Drosophila melanogaster: one gene and its partners. The protein of the gene in region 1 interacts with the protein of each later gene in a pairwise test. Each region holds a gene or a part of one and is shown on either strand. Other genes may lie near its edges.

The links. The genes of interacting proteins can lie anywhere in the genome.
Region 2: the proteins of CG12730 (region 1) and cni interact in a two-hybrid assay, tested with the Drosophila melanogaster proteins (one large-scale study listed by BioGRID).
Region 3: the proteins of CG12730 (region 1) and CG14086 interact in a two-hybrid assay, tested with the Drosophila melanogaster proteins (one large-scale study listed by BioGRID).

What each region holds. Positions count from the first base shown.
Region 1 is NC_004354.4:5,513,971-5,519,837, reverse strand, and holds CG12730 (uncharacterized protein), read right to left. Parts: upstream 3,231-5,867; 5' UTR 2,418-3,230; coding exon 2,340-2,417; exon of another isoform or gene 2,338-2,339; intron 2,267-2,337; coding exon 1,994-2,266; intron 1,795-1,993; coding exon 1,699-1,794; 3' UTR 1,067-1,698; downstream 1-1,066.
Region 2 is NT_033779.5:16,308,043-16,312,701, reverse strand, and holds cni (cornichon), read left to right. Parts: upstream 1-1,975; 5' UTR 1,976-2,011; exon of another isoform or gene 2,012-2,061; 5' UTR 2,062-2,111; coding exon 2,112-2,261; intron 2,262-2,322; coding exon 2,323-2,435; intron 2,436-2,558; coding exon 2,559-2,702; intron 2,703-2,771; coding exon 2,772-2,799; 3' UTR 2,800-3,410; downstream 3,411-4,659. Other genes in the region: fzy (fizzy), read right to left, coding at 1-821, 875-1,196, 1,290-1,601; Syx5 (syntaxin 5), read right to left, coding at 3,571-4,304, 4,373-4,659. UniProt on the Drosophila melanogaster protein: Acts as a cargo receptor necessary for the transportation of gurken (grk) to a transitional endoplasmic reticulum (tER) site and promotes its incorporation into coat protein complex II (COPII) vesicles.
Region 3 is NT_037436.4:19,274,029-19,281,168, forward strand, and holds CG14086 (uncharacterized protein), read left to right. Parts: upstream 1-1,762; 5' UTR 1,763-2,564; coding exon 2,565-2,691; intron 2,692-4,900; coding exon 4,901-4,961; intron 4,962-5,011; coding exon 5,012-5,086; intron 5,087-5,356; coding exon 5,357-5,605; intron 5,606-5,669; coding exon 5,670-5,796; 3' UTR 5,797-5,891; downstream 5,892-7,140. Other genes in the region: CG14089 (uncharacterized protein), read right to left, coding at 6,098-6,772.

The sequences.
Region 1 (5,867 bases):
TCGATGGTGGAGCAGAAATTATGGCACATTAGGGTATGGGAAGTGCTAAGAGCTGCCGACGAAGAAATAATTAAATGATCATTTGGCTAAGAGGGCTAGGAAGCACCGCAAAAAATTATCTACTTACGAGCAGAGTCAAGACCACATAAATATATCAATTAAATGAAGCTTGTATGGAAATGGAAATTACCCTTTAAAGGACATGGTTTTTCTCTGTACACATAGGCGATAAGTGCACAAGGTCATGAGTGGTCATGGCAACTTGCAGCACTTTACAGGGTTGCCTACTGCACGTGTAAAGCAATGCGAAACCCATATTATGTCTGCAATGCGGCTACATTTCTATACATTTATTTTGTTTTTCTTTTTTTTTTTTACGCCAGCGCTTTTCGGCATAAAACACATGAATATATTGCGCTCTTCATTACGTTGTTAAGCGTACTTGGCTGAAAATTTGCTTATGCTTGGCGAACAACTAACTATGAATAAATCGTGCCAGAAATAGACAAGAATCGAGGCGAAAACTTCATCAAACTGGCAACAAAAGTAATAATAATGAGGCGGGAGCCCCCAAAAACAACACAAACAATAGACGAGCCAAGTGCTTTTTTGTGGGCGTTGGGTGCTGCTTGTTGGGTGATGATGGTTGTTGCGTTTGTGGGTGGTTCAAAAGATTTGAAAAGCCAACAATGGCAACAGCTTACAGAGCACCGAAACCAAAACGAAAACGAAACAAGAAGCAAAATCAGACAGGGGGGCACCATAGTGTACCTGTTTATTTTCAGTTTCAATGCGGATAAGGTAAACAAAGGTTGGCGATATCTTTTTCATGGAGCGCCGGTTGCAAAAATTCTATCCGGCAATGTTAGGTGAAAATAGCTTGTTGTGCAAGCAAACATGGTCGCAAAAGTAGTTCGTGTAGTAAAATAAATAAACAATAGCCTCGGGAAAGTGGCCTTTTGCGTAAATGAATCAATAACAATATGCACGATCAACAATTGACATTCAAGCCCAATTTACGCATATGAACTCTCATCATTAAAAAACACCCTTCATTTACAAATTACATTTATGTATTTTTGTTTTATTCTTCCATTGCAAACGATTTATTTGTTTATAAATACAACAATTCAGTGGTCATGAAAAGCATTGTGCTAAAAACTAACTACTTCAATGTATATTCACTTGAGACACACAAATACTATGTACTTAATAAAAGTAAAAAAAAAATCGGGTATATATATGTACATATATATTCACGCATTGTTAACCAGTTATCAGAAGAAGGGAAGAAGCAGAGCCAGAAGGCACAATACAACTTATCTCTTTGGAATTTGCTCTCTTGTTAGTGGTTTTCTCTCGCTTTCTGTTCGCTATTATATCTACGTTATTGCTGCGATCGACTGGCTTTATCTTCTTCACTTCTTGACCTATATCTAGCGACTATTAGATAACACATACGGTAACTGTTCCCGCGACAAAAGCTTGCCACAATTTCAAACTTCAGACTTAAATGCTTCAAGCAAACGCAAGCGATACTCGCTCTCTCAAAACAAACTCACACACACGCGCACGCACTGGCACTCACACAGATACTCGTTCGCACACAGATACTCGCTCTCACACAGATACACACACAGAGTAAGCCTAACGTAGTAAGAGCCACCAAAAGCTGGGTTCGTGCACCTGAAACCAAGTCTATATCGTTTGGGTGGCCACCTCCCGCTGGCGACTGCGCCGATAGTTTCCATAGGCCTCCAGTCCGTTGATGCAAAATGCTGTCAGGCCAAAGAACTGTAAAAAAAAAGGTGAAGAATAGGGTGTATTAGACGGATCTACAGAGAGTTCATCACAGCGAGGGAATGAATCGGCTCCAACTGGAGGCTCAGTGTTTCGTTTACCAGTATCTTTCCTAGCTTAATCATTAGCCGAAACAATGAGCCGTAATACTTTTGGTTTCCGAACTTATCCTAACTGCGAGAACGCCACTTACCGCCGCCGCCGTATAGGCTCCAATATCCAGGGAGAGTACGAGTCCGGAGGCCGTGAAGTAGGCCAGGGCCAATGAGGAGTGCACCGCCAGGGACCAGAGCGTGGGATCGCATCGGCAGAACTGGCGCTGCCACAACCGGAGATACCTGGCCAGGAGCAGGCAGCCGGTGGCCACGAATCCGATGGTGACTACGGCCAGGTAGAAACTGCCGCGGAAATTGCTCACGCGCACCGGTCCGCAGATGATGCACAATATTCCAACAAAGCTGCACAGCTGAAAGACGCACACATACAAGCGCACACATTAAGGGCGATACACAATGGCACATATGTGTAAGGCTAATTACCAAACAGGCCAGCTTGCACAGGCCCGGCATGCTGAGCAGGTATTTGCGATCGTAGTCCTGGGTTCCCGTCAACGACATCGCGGCCAATACAAGATATATACGTTTTGGATGCAGTTAATCCAGATTGTCCAGCCGAATAGATGCCTCAGAAACGAGCGATTAAAGCCAATGTAGCAAATGTAGCGAAGCGCCGCTGACTAATTCATATTGCGCTCGCCAGCACGCACAGAATGCCACTGAAGTAATACAAACAACACAAATACTCAGAATTCTCCCATCGTTACACTCGGCGAATAAAACTACAATTGCGAGAGCGAGAGAAGCAGCGGGCGAAAGAGAGAGAGAGAGAGAGAGAGAGAGAGAGAGACAGAGAGCGAGCAACACATGGCACAGTGGGACGAAACGATCAGGAAATGTAGTACATATTGTGTACAAATTGTGTTATCTACTCAAATGGTATCTAATGAAACTATAAATATTAAGGAGATTAGCTTTAGCTGGGTATTTATAAAAAATAGGATTATTAGTTTAAGAAAGCTGTAATTTCCAATAAATGAATAAACCATATTAACTTGTCTTACTAACTGTAGTTTTGGGGGTCTGTTCATTGTGAATGCTTCTTCGTTACATTATACTAATTTTCGTTCGGGGGATGTCAAGGGGTGAATCTAACACGGTGTGACTCACTGACCTCCAGGGATATATTAAATATATGTATATTCATAAGGCAAGGTGACCGGTTACTGGGTGAGCAAAGCTTTTTTAGTCGTGTGAAGTGCCGAGCTTTTATGACTGGCATTGCTTGTGACATGCAGTTTGAGGTTGGGCCCTTTTTGGACCACTGTGCATTCGAATTTCCATCTGTATCTTAATGCCCAGCATCATTAGATTGTGCCATTCGAATCGTATTTGTTATCGGCTATGACCGAAACGCTTCTCGTTATTTTAATCGGCACAGCAGGCTAATTGATTTAGTTACTTAACGGATAAATCGCTGCACAAATCCGAATGCGAATGCAAATGCGAGCCTCCCAAAATCAAATGCAATTTCGTCGTGATTCACATTGCAAAACACAAGCTGCCCAGCACATATCATACGGAATACGTGAATATACACAAACCATTTGGTGGCCAGATAAGTTTGACGAACTTTGAACACACTACTCCATACAAAAGAAAAAAATTTTATGATACAAAGCTACAAAGATATTACAGATACAATTTTTTCATTCATTTAATTTTGATTTCTCGCTACTCATGTACTATTTTCCACATTCAATTGTTAAAGTTCTTGAAAATGCATAGATACTTGTATAGGGTAGCAGTCGAAACACTCTGGCCCGACATCAAATTGAGTTATATTAATTGACTCATATTCATGAGAGGTGGCTCGTTTACGAAATGGCCGCATGGGTGGCCCCCGCCTCCTGGCCAAGGTCACTTGCACAATCGCCTCGACTGACTGAGATTCAGAGACATTCACAGTTTCACAGATTCACATATTCTAATGCAGAGCGGAAAATGCTGAGTGAGATATCTATGCGACGGAAATCGGCCACAACAAGCGGAAATGAGCACGAAAATCATAAATGAACTGCACTTGAGCAATTTAAGCGATAAAGTGCAGTTTCCATTTCGAGGGTAACAAACAGTCAGACGACTGCAGGGCAACTAATGTCTACATGATTTCTAAAAGCTCATGCATATATATGTATAAACATATATATATACATAAATATGGGAGGCACGAGATTTGCGCTCATCGATAAGCATCGAATCGTCTGGACAAGCGGGGAAAATGTGCGGCGGAAAAGCGAAGAAAATTGACTGGAGAGCGGATTTACACTTGAGGGCGTGCGAGTCTCAATGGCAAAAAGCTATGATTACCTATGGACATTTCTTTGATTTCTTTAGGACTTTGAATTCGATAAGTGCACAGAGGACTTTATAAATGTGCGCTTTAAACCACTGAATAACAGCAAAAGCATCTAAATAGTTTTTAACTAAATATCCAACTTATACTCAGTGGCACGTTGCTGAGAGTGCATTGTTTAGTGATATATCTCGCCTACGATTCATGCACATGGCTGGTTTTTCGCTTACGCACTCAGGCAATTTCCATCGCTTTTCCACCCATGTTGTAGAGCAGCGGAGAGAGAGGGGGGCGGGGCCGGGGGGAATTGGAAAATGTGGGTGCATCTAATTAGAAAAGCATTCGCTGTAATTGCCAGCTGCTGCATCAGCAAGATTTTGTTTGCTTTGGCGACGGGATAACGTGGAGCAGGACCAAAGGCAAAGCGACATGTGAGCTATTAAGCAGTGTTCTGGCTGAAAAAATCCAGTTTCAGATGCATCAGAAGCATCTTTAATAATGACAAACTTGGCGATAACTATGACCAATTAAACGAAAGTTGGAGTAAACGTTTGCGAGCAGGCAGATAATTAGTTTCAGGCACTTTGAAGGAAGTTCGAAAGAAAGCGGCAAGTTGGGCCGTAGCCATTTCTCAACCTCGACAAAGAAGTGTGCCAGCTGGGTATCTGTCAGATACAGATACTAAGTTGCCCAGATACACGGCTCGATTTGAATGCAAATTTCGTGCAGTGGCTGTCAGACTCTGCAGCTGACGTGACAAGACCAAGACCACCCCCCCTAATTTCGAATCCCGAAATACCCCAAAAATAGCAACGACCTCAGCATATCTGCCAAGTGAATTTGAATCTGATATTCCCTTCGACTTTGGGCGCTTTTTATCCGCCAGCTGACAACCACCCCCATTTCCCCCCTCGGATTTTCCAGCTTTTTCCCCCCCGGGGAACAGAACATTTATGCGCCTTATAAATGATTATCGTGTGCACTCAAGTGCCAACGTCATCAATCAAATGGGCCAAGTGCAACAGGATGTCCTTGCCGCCATTCTTTAAATATCCTTTATTTGCTATCTGTATCTCTTTGTCTGGAGGCTCATCTCATATTCGCGAGCTTACTGTCATCTCAGTTGTGGTGCATGGAGCTGCTGTTCTTCGACAGCTTTCAATGATGTTGTAAACGAATTTACTTGAAATGAAAATATTATTTAAAGCCCGAAGCATAACTAGATTCGAAGGGCATTAAGCTTTCGCTGGTGGTACTTTCACTTTAAGTTCGGTTTCTGCGGGTAATTTATGCTAATGAATTGCCAATCAATCCGTCAATCAATCAACGAAAATACATTTTCCTATAGACCTCATTAATGACCTCCTACGAGTATATGGAAAAGAAAAAAAAAATTGGTTGAGTCTCAAATCAATTTAATTGGCATTTCATTGGCCCGTTTCCCCCGAATTGTACACACTTTTCACAAGCTCCCTGCGATTTTTCCACTTCATTTTCAGTATCTGCTCTTCGCTGAATTCAGCTGCCGCTGCACATTTTAAAGCAATTTCCTTCGCGTGATTTTTGATCAATTCACTTGGCCAGGTGGTCCAGGGAAACAGAGGAACACCGAACTCGATTTGCCACGATTTACGACTCCGTACTTGCCACTTATG
Region 2 (4,659 bases), on another chromosome or scaffold:
CACTGTGCTGCCGTCCGGAGACATGGCCATCTGGAGAACTCGTGACGTGTGTCCAGTCAAATCGGCTTGCTTCACCATTGTTGGGTATTTCCAAATGGTCAGTTGGTTGTTAGCAAAACCATGCGCAGAGATCAGCTCCTTGTAGTGGCGAGAAAAGAGCAGAGAACAGACCTGCGACTTGGAGTCCACGGATTTCATTAAAGTGCCATTGTTCACATTCCAGAACTTGATGCAGCGATCGGCGGTGCCGCCTCCAGAGGCTAGAGTACTTGGTTGCCAGGGACACCAGGCCAAGGCACGCACTGCAGCTTGATGGTCGTTGAATTTGTGCAAGGGATCGGTGGCAGTTCCCACGCCACCGCTGGCCGCCGACCAAACATTCACCAGATTGTCGTTGCCTCCGCTAGCCAAATACTTGAAATCCGTGGACCACTTTAGGCCGCAAACCTCCTGCGTGTGTCCGGACAATGTGGAAAGCTTGTGCTCACGTGCACGCACATCGTGGTGGACAATGGTGCCATCCCGGCTGCCAGAGGAAACCAGGAATGAGTTCCAGGCCAAGGATCCCACTCGGGCACTGTGTCCATCCATCACTCGCAGACGCTTCACTTTGGAGCAGTCCCACAGCTCCACGGCACCGGTGCTGTTGCCGATGGCAAGTATCTGCCCCTCCTGGATCCACGATAGCGAGCCTGCGTAGTCGCCCTCCTCAAACTCCGTAAGCTGCTCGATATTTCCGGTCTGTGCGTTCCACAAATAGACGCAACTGCCCAAGGCCACAGCCACTATATTGTCGGCACTCCAATCCATAAGATTTAAATCTGGAAGAGATCAATAGTAGAAAAAAAGAAAAGAAAAGTTTTCTTCGACCTACAGTAATCGTTAATAAAATCAGGTGCATCCAGAATCCTCTCGGATGTGGTGGGTATATAGCGTGAGCCACTCTTTGTGGATATGGGTGTCTTAATGGAGTACACGACCTTCAGGGGATTGTTGTGTGTTTCTGGAGCAGCGGGAGCCTTGTTTTGGTAGCACAAAATGCGCCCGCCCTTGGAGTCACCGACCTGGGCCACTTCAGAGATGAGTTTCTGCCGGTCGCCCTTGTGAGCCGAAGCCTGGACATTGCTCTCGTTGCTGTTGCTCGAGGTGGCCTTGTCGTTCTCCTCATCGGACTTATCGCCGGAGTCTTTGTTCACCTAATAGATGGTCAGGTGGTCAATAAATTCTTAAGGGGTCTGGAATAAGGATGCCCTTACAGGGCGGGATGGAGGGATGAGTGGAATCCTTACCAGAAAGTGTGCTAACTCAAAGTTGGTAGCCGCCCGATTCGGAATAAAGCGATCTCCGCCTCCTGGCGTCTTAGAGGGCGTGGTGTTGGACTTCTTGGTCTTGCCCTCGCTGCTCTTGCCCGGAGTTTTCGTGGGCGCCTGGACACCCGAGAAACTGGTGTTGTACGAGACGGATAGCACCGACCGAGTGGTATTCACACTTCCATTTAGAGACGCCTCCAGCTTCTTCTTCCACCTGGGCGCAGGTCCGCGCGTCTCGCCGTCCATGATGAGAGCATTCTGCAAATCGCTCACAAAATTGAACTGCGACATTGTGTTCCGCTCTTTTCTGGTGTCAGTTGATTATCGAATTTATTTATTTATTATTATTAAAAAACAGAAGCTCATAGAACACTTGGATCGAATTTTTTCCAGATTTCGAGATGCAACACAAATGGCGGTTCGATTTGGAAATGTAGTGTGACCGCATCGGCTAACTGTTAGTGGTATTTTTTGTGCGTAGAGAAAATTACCAGAGAATTAAAATTAATACAAAACATTATAATTCGTTAGAAATTAAAATTGCTTCTTTAAATGAAATTATATTTGATTTATAATGGATAGCTGATTATTTATTAGCCTCATTTGCAATGTGACCGTACATCTGTGCTGCCTGATCGTTTAGATTAGTGCATCCCTGGCGCACAGCTGTCATCATCGCCGCCCTTGTAAAAAAAAAACAAGTGAGTCCCAGCGCTACAATTGCAAAGCCGAATTTTACGATAATAATTAGCAAGTCACTTTGATTAGCACCTGGAAGACGTGCTCCAGCGATTTTACAAGATGGCCTTCAACTTCACCGCCTTCACGTACATAGTGGCCCTGATCGGGGATGCATTCTTGATATTTTTCGCCATATTTCATGTCATTGCATTCGACGAACTTAAAACGGATTATAAGAACCCAATTGATCAGTGCAATAGCCTCAATCCGGTCAGTAAACTTACTGCTTACACCCGCAGTGCGCCCTGTAATGTATGTGTTTGCATTTCAGCTGGTTTTGCCCGAATACCTTCTGCACATCTTTCTGAACTTGCTCTTCTTGTTCTGCGGCGAATGGTTTTCGCTATGCATCAACATACCCCTCATAGCCTATCATATTTGGCGGTAAGTGACTCATTTGACCGTGTGATATAATGTGATTTGAGATCCGAGGAGATCAAGATTCACCCAAGCCCAACATAAGCACCCTTAAGCACTCATGCTTTGTAATACCCCTATCGCTTTCAGTTACAAAAACCGCCCTGTGATGTCGGGACCCGGACTTTATGATCCCACCACGGTCCTGAAAACCGATACTTTGTACCGGAACATGCGTGAGGGTTGGATTAAACTGGCCGTCTATCTGATTAGCTTCTTCTACTACATATACGGGTAAGTCTAATTGAGATTCATTGTGGCCAGGGTCCTCATTTGTCTAACGTTTCTAATTGCTAATTTTAGCATGGTTTATTCGCTCATCTCGACATAGGCAAGCTCTTGCCTGGGGATCTCAGTGTTGGCGCCAACGCATCAGCGTCGTGTATTAGTTGTCTAAACTCGGGTAGAGGACTTCCTTTTTTGGGGAAGAGTCCCCATCAACCGCGAACAATACTTCACTTGTAAATTCTAGTGTAAATCCATAAAGACATCTTGAAGCTTTGTTTTTTTCATACAATTTGTAATACTTTTCTGCAGTAAGAGATTGTAACATGTTTTTATTTTGATTATTTTTTGCATATCGCATCTTTGGTGTAGTTGGATTTTAAGCATTAAATAAAAGTCAAATCAATGTAACCAATTTTCATTTTTCTGTTTAGCATGAGGGACAGCGGAATTTTTGGCTAAACACGACGAACATGGAGCAACGAGCACTTAAGATAATAAAGATTATGAAAGGGCACTTAAACCTTATCAGCAGGGCAAACATAGATATAGTCTCTCTCCAATTTGATACTTGCATTACACGTTTTCTAAGGTAATATACAAGTTTCTTACATCAGCAAACATATTTATCATTCGGCTTTATATTTTGGAAATTATATTTAATTTTAGAGCTTCCATTAGAATGGAAAAATTCACCAAAGAACCACATGCTAAAATAAATGTATTTTGCTTTAGAACGTATTTATAACTTTATTTTACAATCGTTTCGGGAGGCCACAGCTTGGAATAAACAATATTGTGATTGAATCTTGATTAAAATAAAAAGCTGTATACATGGATAGGTACATGGGGCTTTTAATGGGCAACTGGCGTTTGATTACGACATAAAAACAACGAAGAACAAGAAGAAGAATATGAGAACGCCGAAGATTTTGATCATCAGCCAGCGATTTTTGGAGACGGATTGAAAGTATTTCAAGATCTCCCCATGGGCAGCCTCAATATTCAATTCCGCATCCGCCACATTCGTGTCAATACGCTCCACGATCTCTTCCTGCTCCTTAACCATATGTGCCAGCTGCTGGAATATTCCGCCGAGCTCAACGATGGTAGATTCTATATTTTGCATGGTCTCCGCCCGCTGCTGGACGTAATTATCGGAATCATCGTAGATGGCCATCTGTGTCTGGGTTGATAGGAGTGGTGTGGTATCGCTGCTCCCCATATCTATGCTGACCGCTTGGTTTTCCTCGCTGAGAAGCAAAGATCCCTGCTTGGCTGTCGAGGGGGAGACGGTGTGCGCGGCCAACGGACCTGGTCCCTGGCTAAACTGATCACGTCGCGTCTTCTGCTGCTTGAGGTTCTCCGTGCGCACCTCCAGGATTTGCTTGAAGTCCGTGCTCATGCTGGCCAGTTTCGATTGCAGGGCCAGTACCATGTTAGAGGAATGTGACACCAAATGCTTGCCGTTTGTGTGACGCCGCTGATCCTTGGAGATGTCCTGCAGTCGGGCAATTTGTTGATTTAAGGCATTTAGGTCGCCTTTGATGATATAGGTCAGCTCCTGAATCTCCTGCGGTCTGTCATCAAATAAGCTCTTCTTTTTGGCCACTAAAACGAAGATGGGAATTTTAAAGTTTTGAATATGACTTTAAGGGGTTACTAAAACATGTACTTACACATTGTGAGCTTCTCCAGTTTTGCGTAGGTGCTGGCTATGTTCTTGCCAATAAACCTGGCGACCATCATGAACTCCGAGTAGCTCTGAACCTGCTTAGCTTTGCGGGGATCGCGTATATTCACTGCCCGGGTGATATTTCGAGCCTGCAGGGAACGAATCGCATTGGCGAACTCGCCCGTTCGATCGCGTGCGGCCATGACGAATATTTCTGGTTCGGGTTCCGTTTCCTGCGGCTCCTCCTTCGATTGGTAAAACTGTGAACTAGTCGGAATGGAAGCGGGGTAG
Region 3 (7,140 bases), on another chromosome or scaffold:
AAGTGAGGAGGACACCAAATTGGATCAATAAATTATAAAAAGCCTTTTTTAAATGGCTACAAAGTAATTAACTCTAACCATATCTAAAAGACATTAACTAACAAACAAACATTACAATAAATGTAAAATTTTGTTTTTGCAAATTACAACTTTTTTCATTGTGTACAGTGTAAGACCAATTGCAAGCATAGAAGACCTGGACAAACGACTCCAACTGCAGGAGGCGGTATCAAGGACGACCTTCAGAAGTATTTCGCTAGAATCCTCGAGCTGTTCCTTAAGGAAATTAACTTTTCAGAGTGTGGGGCATCTGTGAATTATGTCGTAGATGGCGGCGACAGTGGAGACTTTCCTTGGGGCGACGGCTGCCACTTTGGATGTCATTAACGCCGCATAATGCAAACAAGCCTGACGACAGACACCTTAGCAAATGCACAGGACAATAAGCGGAGGAGCTAAAAAAATATTTACTCGTGCTTCCCCTCTCCTGAATTTGGCCCCCATTTAATTTATGAGGATGAGGGCGGTGTAGCAACCGAAAATGTTTTTGTCCACATTCTGCGTACTCGTCCGCCTCTTGGCAATTGCTCAGCTTTGCTCCTGGTTGTCTTTTGAGCTTCTTTACACCTCCCGCCGCTCCGCTCACCATTCAGCCAGTTATGAAAATTACTGAAACGTGGCCAAAGACGGGTGCGGGGATCCACAGGACCTGCAGGACGAGGGCACGCACACACAGAGCCGCTTGAGCAGTGGCAACAACATGAGGCACTGGCTTCACACACAGGACAACGTGACAAATAAAATCAAGCTGGCTTTGAGCAGTGGGCCGAGAATCCTGTTTTAGGCTTAAAACTTCAATATTTGTAATAGTTAAAGATTATCTTTACACCTGGTAGAATATTTATCAAGTGCATATAAGTAAGATTTTCGTTGTGTAAAATCGTAGGTAAATTTCATACTTCCCTCTTCTTTTACATTTGGAAAAATCGTAATCAAGTAAGCATTCGGGTGGGAATATATTTAAATCACACACAATATTAAGCTCTCGCCCATGGTGCCTTCTTGTAAAAAACCGCAGGACTATAAAGACTGACCCAATGCGCTACGCTACACAATAAATCGCGAGAGGAAACACTTTTTACAAAAAAAAAGAGATAAAACATACAAACAGTTCTAATTAAAATACTGAAGACAAAAAGAAAATTAATTATTTATTTGAGTTCCTTAATTATATTAACAATGTAATTCAAAAATTGTATTCCTACTACAATACTAAAAAAAAACCAAGTTAAATAACTTCTGATTGAAATTAAAGCATTATTCTAGTTAAAAATCAGCCCTATATTCTTGCTTTCAATTAATATATTTCAAGAGCATAGTTTTAAAGAATTCTCATACTGCCAACGCCAAATAAGTTTTCAAATACAAATGATAGTGGATGTCAAAAACAGCTAACCAATTAAAAACATCTTTAAAACAACATGGATAAATTTTGCGGTCTCCATAAATCTCAGCATTAAATCGCAAAAACGCATTTAAAAAGAAATAAACACTACGCGTTCGTTCTCGTAACAAATCAACTTAGCAGTTTCGAATGCAGCGCCGCCCCATTGGCTGGTATTTGGCTACAAAGTCAGTGGCAGTAGGAAAAGCAATGGGAAAAGCAGCCTGAGCGGCGACTCTGGATCCTGACTCCGAAAATAGAAACGAATCCTGGCCGGTCCTTTCATTCAGTTTCATTCTGCTGGCGCCGCTGGAAGCGTGCGGACGTTCGTTGTTTAGAGCTCGGCCATAAAGTCGTGTGGCAAAGTGGCACTTGACAAAAATAAAAAAAGTTACAAACCTTCAACAACAATAAGAAAAATATTTAATAAAAAAAATATATATTATAGAGGGCACACAACGTGCGGGGGCAAAGTGCAAATGGTAACGGTAATTTGCAGACATTAGTTGCCACACACACACACACACACACACACAAGCAAACGGTGCGGTGATTAAAGGCAATGGAAGGAGAGGTGCGAAAAATGTCACATTACGAATACGCAGTGTGTGCCCGAGTTAAATGGTGAAATTTAAAAGCTGTGCGAGCTGGAATTGAAAATATTTATCGCAAAGTTGTTTGGCCACTTAGTATGCCAGGCACGTAGTGCATTTTTGTGATGTGGATACGGCTCTTTGATTGTTTTATTAGCGATTCCCTTGGACAGGACCTAAAACGTCAGTTTCGGATGAGAGTATTTAAAGTTATGGAGGATTAGAAAGTAGTACATTGAAAATTTGAATTTAACCAAAAACTAAAATTGTTCTAAAGTGAAATTAAAAACGAATAAATATATTAAATAAATTGGAAATTAAGTAAGTGGAGCTTACACATTAATCAAAAATTTAAATGCTATGGCTTCGACTTTTGTCATCAGTAATAACGAAGGAGAAGAAAAACTTGAGCTCCAATAAATAAGATATTAAGAATAAAGCCGCACTTTTGGCGATTCATAAAACAAATATAGATAGAAATTCATAAAGTAAATATCTATATATATATATATATAACCAAGTCAGCCATGAGCCAGATGCAACTGCAATCGCAGCGCGTTCGCCGCGCCCGTCATCATCGCCGCAATCAGTCCGCAGAGCCGTGCGAGTGCCTTCGTCCTGTGATAAGGGTTTTTGGTCTGCTGACTTCATTCGGTAAGCTCAAGTGCGCGGAAATCCGAGCCAGTGGAATAAGACTTGTCGGTGCCGGTGCCCAGGTGACCCCCGTTTCGAGATAATGCCAATCTCGATACGAGGCTATGATGCATGTGCATGTGCATGCATTTATGTATGAATGTGCAATGCTTTTCTGGCCCTTATTTGGAATGTTTACCCTTGACAAATCGTAGGAAATACTTGTGCATGGGAACCATTGCCTCGGGATATGTTGAGTGCTGTGGCTTATTATATTTCTTGGCACTGAATGGGATTCGCAAGACGAAGACGATGCTGAATGGGGACACGCTCTTATTGGCTGCTTTTATTGTTCCTTTCAATTCATATAATATTACTCTTTGAGCAATATTTTCATTGTACACAAAGGTTTTGCATTTGTTTGAGAAGACTGGCAAAATAAATGTACATAAAAGGAAATGGTTTTCCATATTCACAGAGCACATATAGCACAGAATATGTGCTCTAATGAACAGGATATTTGACCTAATGTAATTTGGTAAAATAAATAAATGCCATCCAATACTACTGAAATTCCAGTTTAGCTTAACAATTAAATAGAACACAGAGAGTAAATTGGTAGAAGATTAATTTCCCTTTTTTTGCGTCATTTAATTACAATTCAATTATGCTTTTTTTGTACAACCCAGCTTTGTGTTACATTTTTTCCGTTTAAATTGAGGCAATAATTTTAGATTGACAGCCTGAAATTTAATGGCATTTCGTTTGTCAATTTACGAAGTCAAATTTAATTTATTAAACAGGCAAGGTAAAGTGAAGCAAAAACTTAATAAATAATAATATTACCTTTCTGAAATGAATTCAGTTTGGTTGCACAACGTAACTTTTTCACCCTGTATCCGCATTCTAATCTACGAAAATGCAATCACATTTTTTCATCCCAATTTTTCTGCCATCTGGTGAAGTTATCAAAGTTGGCTTAAACGCTTATCGTGGCCAATCATAACGATTTTCCTCCACCATCTGACATTTTCCTAATGCGCTTAAGATAGTGCACCGCCGTTTTTTTATACAGAATTTGATAAATCGCCCAGCTGCAGGCAGGCCAACAAAAACTTCGGGTCAAGTTCAAACTAATTTCTTTGCAAATTGTTTTGGGGTCCATCATGGGTGCAGTGGCACGCAGGAAAACAAAGTATAAAATCTCTGTAGTTCATAAGCTCCGCATTATAGGGATCGGGTAAGAGGGATGGGGTTTTCCAAGGAAACTCTCTGGCAGAGCCATTAACAAGGCATTGGCCTCTATGCAGCTTGCAGCTTGCAGCTCACGACTGGCATCCTGTGCCAAGAGCAGAGTTTTCCCAGCCCGATTTTCCCCTTATCAGCAACTTTTCCATACGGTCGACAATGAGCTGTGTTGTTAGCCTTTAGGCGCCAGCCATTCGCCAAGTTTTCCTCTTGCCCGGCATCTATTTTTCCCCCACCGCTTTCAATTATCCAGATAATTTTTGCATGTTTTTTCGATTTCCGCTTTTTCAATTTTTATCTCCGTTGACAGCATTTAATGTAATTGGTTTGGTTTCGGTTCTGCAGTTGTGCTTAAATATGGGGCATACATATACATATATCTAACTGGCTAATCTGATTGGTTTTTCGCGACCCGGCATAATAAAAACAACTTAATTAGATTGTATTTTTATGGACCACTGGGCGTGGTGGCTCCATAACCACATCTAACCATATCTTATACACTCAAAGTGGATTTGGCTAAGACAAAATGTGAAGCGGAACCATAATGTGGTTAGAATATGAATGCCCTGCGGAGGGCTGTTCGACAAAAATATAGAAACCTTTTAAGTTATAAAATTTAAGTTCGTCATGAATATTGAAGTTTCTTCCAAGCTATTTATTATTAATTATCATTATGTTATTTCGTAATGTGTAGGACATTGCCTTCTTAAAATACTCTATTGCAAATGATGTAAGCTTCAGTAAAATTGCGATAAACTTCTTGAGCTCACCTCGTTTCCATTCATTGGTTTTGTATTACATTTTATGGCCAAAGCATGGTAAACAAAAAAGGCCCAGCTCAATAAATATGCTTATAAATATATTTGCCTAGACACACTCACATTATTTTATAGGCTCGTTCAAGGATAACACTCCTCGTTTCAACCCGCCAAAAAGGACCCCCCGCACCGAACCTTTCTTTAGCCATTTTTCATTTCAGTTATCTGCGGCGTTGGCGTTGATGTCTACATGCATGGCTATCGGGCCGGTCTTTATATAGTGTAAGTCACGGATCTAAATATCCCCCATAACTATACTAATTTCTGGTTAGTTTTTCAGCCGTGCTGGTAATGTTTATCGAGATCAAGTGGCTTGTGACTATCTTCCTGCAACTTCAGTGCGCAGAGTAAGAAAACTATTCAAGATTACCAAATAACATGTTCATAAATTATAGTTATTCGTATATATATTATTTGATAATTAGCAGTTATTATTTATGAAATATAGAAATTCTAGTTACCAAGCCTAGTAGTTGTAAAACTAATTAAACCCTAATTATACTATAATATGATATACTTTACTATTATATACAATACTCTATATCAAGTGCCTTTGCTCAGATTTTTCTCTGCAAATTTTTCTCTGTTCACATATTTGTGAATTCAATTTGTTTCAGGGATAATTACCAGCGAAGGTCCTGCAGCTGCTTGGCCTGCTGGCGACTTTCAGCGATTTGTGGCGGTTGGCGACCCACTCCTGTTTATGCGGTCATCGGCATCTGCCTGATCCTGTATCCCCACAATCTGTGGCTGAGTTATGTGGCCGGGATGTTCCTGATACTCCTCGGACTCCTCAGACTGTGCACGCTGCTCCGATTCAGCGCCTCGAAGGAGGAGGGTCTCCTGCCGCAGTGCGACTTTGAAAAGTGATGCCAGCCAACGAATGTCTTTGTTATTTGTTTCTAATGTCTGTTTGTTCTGCGATGATAGGGTGTCGAGCTTTGTGGATACCATGGAGGATGATTTCGCGGAGATTGGTGCCACGCAAGCGGGATTGGATGAGGAAGCGGAGGAGGAGGGCGACGACCACACCGCCCTAGACGACGATGTTTGCTAATAGTTTAAGCCAGCTTTTCTGCCTAATGTAATGTGAGATTTTAAACGACTTAACAAATGTCTAATAATATACAGTTTGTAAAGAGGTTTCGATTTAAACGCTGAGTGCGTGGTATATTTTTATAGGTAATCGATAAACCCACACTTTGTATGATTTTTGGTGTCATTTATAAACGAAGCCACTCAAAAGTCAAAAAGGACATTCTTCAAAAGAATTTTGAAAGTTCCTTTTAAGTATTGGGTATCTGCTTTTTACCTACAGAAATAATTATCAAAGCTATTTCGTTTTAAATAATGTTATTTTAATTTCGTCTTTTATTGTTTTTTGTGCTAAACGGATTTCTGCGTTCACTAAAGGCCAAAATGAAGGGCTGGTCGTCGAATTCTTCGGTTTTTCTCAGACCAAAAGAACGCTCATTGCCGTAATCATACTCGTCCTCATCATAGTAGTTATAGTAGTGCCTCTGGTGGCCTTTAGGGCCTCCATGTCCATGTGATGGAGGAGGAGGAGGTGGAGGATACGGATACGGTGGATATGAACCTCCGGGATATCCAGGAGGACCCTGAGGACCAGGTTGGCCAGGGATTCCAGGCATCCCGGGGTGGCCCTTATCTCCACGCGGCCCCTTCTCGCCGGGATCACCCTTGGATCCTTTGGGGCCGGGATAGCCCTTCTGCCCCGGCTGTCCCGGTGGACCAGGTGGACCTGGAGGACCGGGCGGACAACCGCATGGCTGTGGCTGAGGATACGGATACGAATAGCTTGGCGGATAGTGTGGCGGATGATAATGTTGATGATCGTGATCCTCCTCTATGATCACTTCCTGTGGCGGGGCTGGAGCGGGACTTCCAGTTTGGAGGGTGATCAGCCGGGGCACTGAGGCATCATCCTTGGCGAAAACTCCCCCAAGAACAGACAGTAGTGCCACCAGCAGAATAGTCCAGTTCGCAGAGAGAACTTCCAGATTCGACGACATGCTGTGAACTAACGAAAATCAGATCGCAGTCACTTCTTTTATGTGGATAAATGCGTTTGAAAAATGGCAACAGAGGAGAATCATTCAAACTCCCGTTAAGATAGCTCATTTGAGATCTATATGTCTTGTCTTACGATCGCATTATATTTGTATCGTATGCTAATTTCTCTTGTTTAATAAACCAAGCCATTTATTTATAAAGTATCTGATTTGCATAATATTCAATGAATGAGTTGAGTTTTTGGGCTGATGAAAGAACTTTCACACCAAATGGATGTCGGACTTTGTGATCGAGCCATGAAAAGTGAATTCTCGTATTCTAGGATAGATCAATTAACAGGTATATGTATATCATTTCTGCGCGTAAA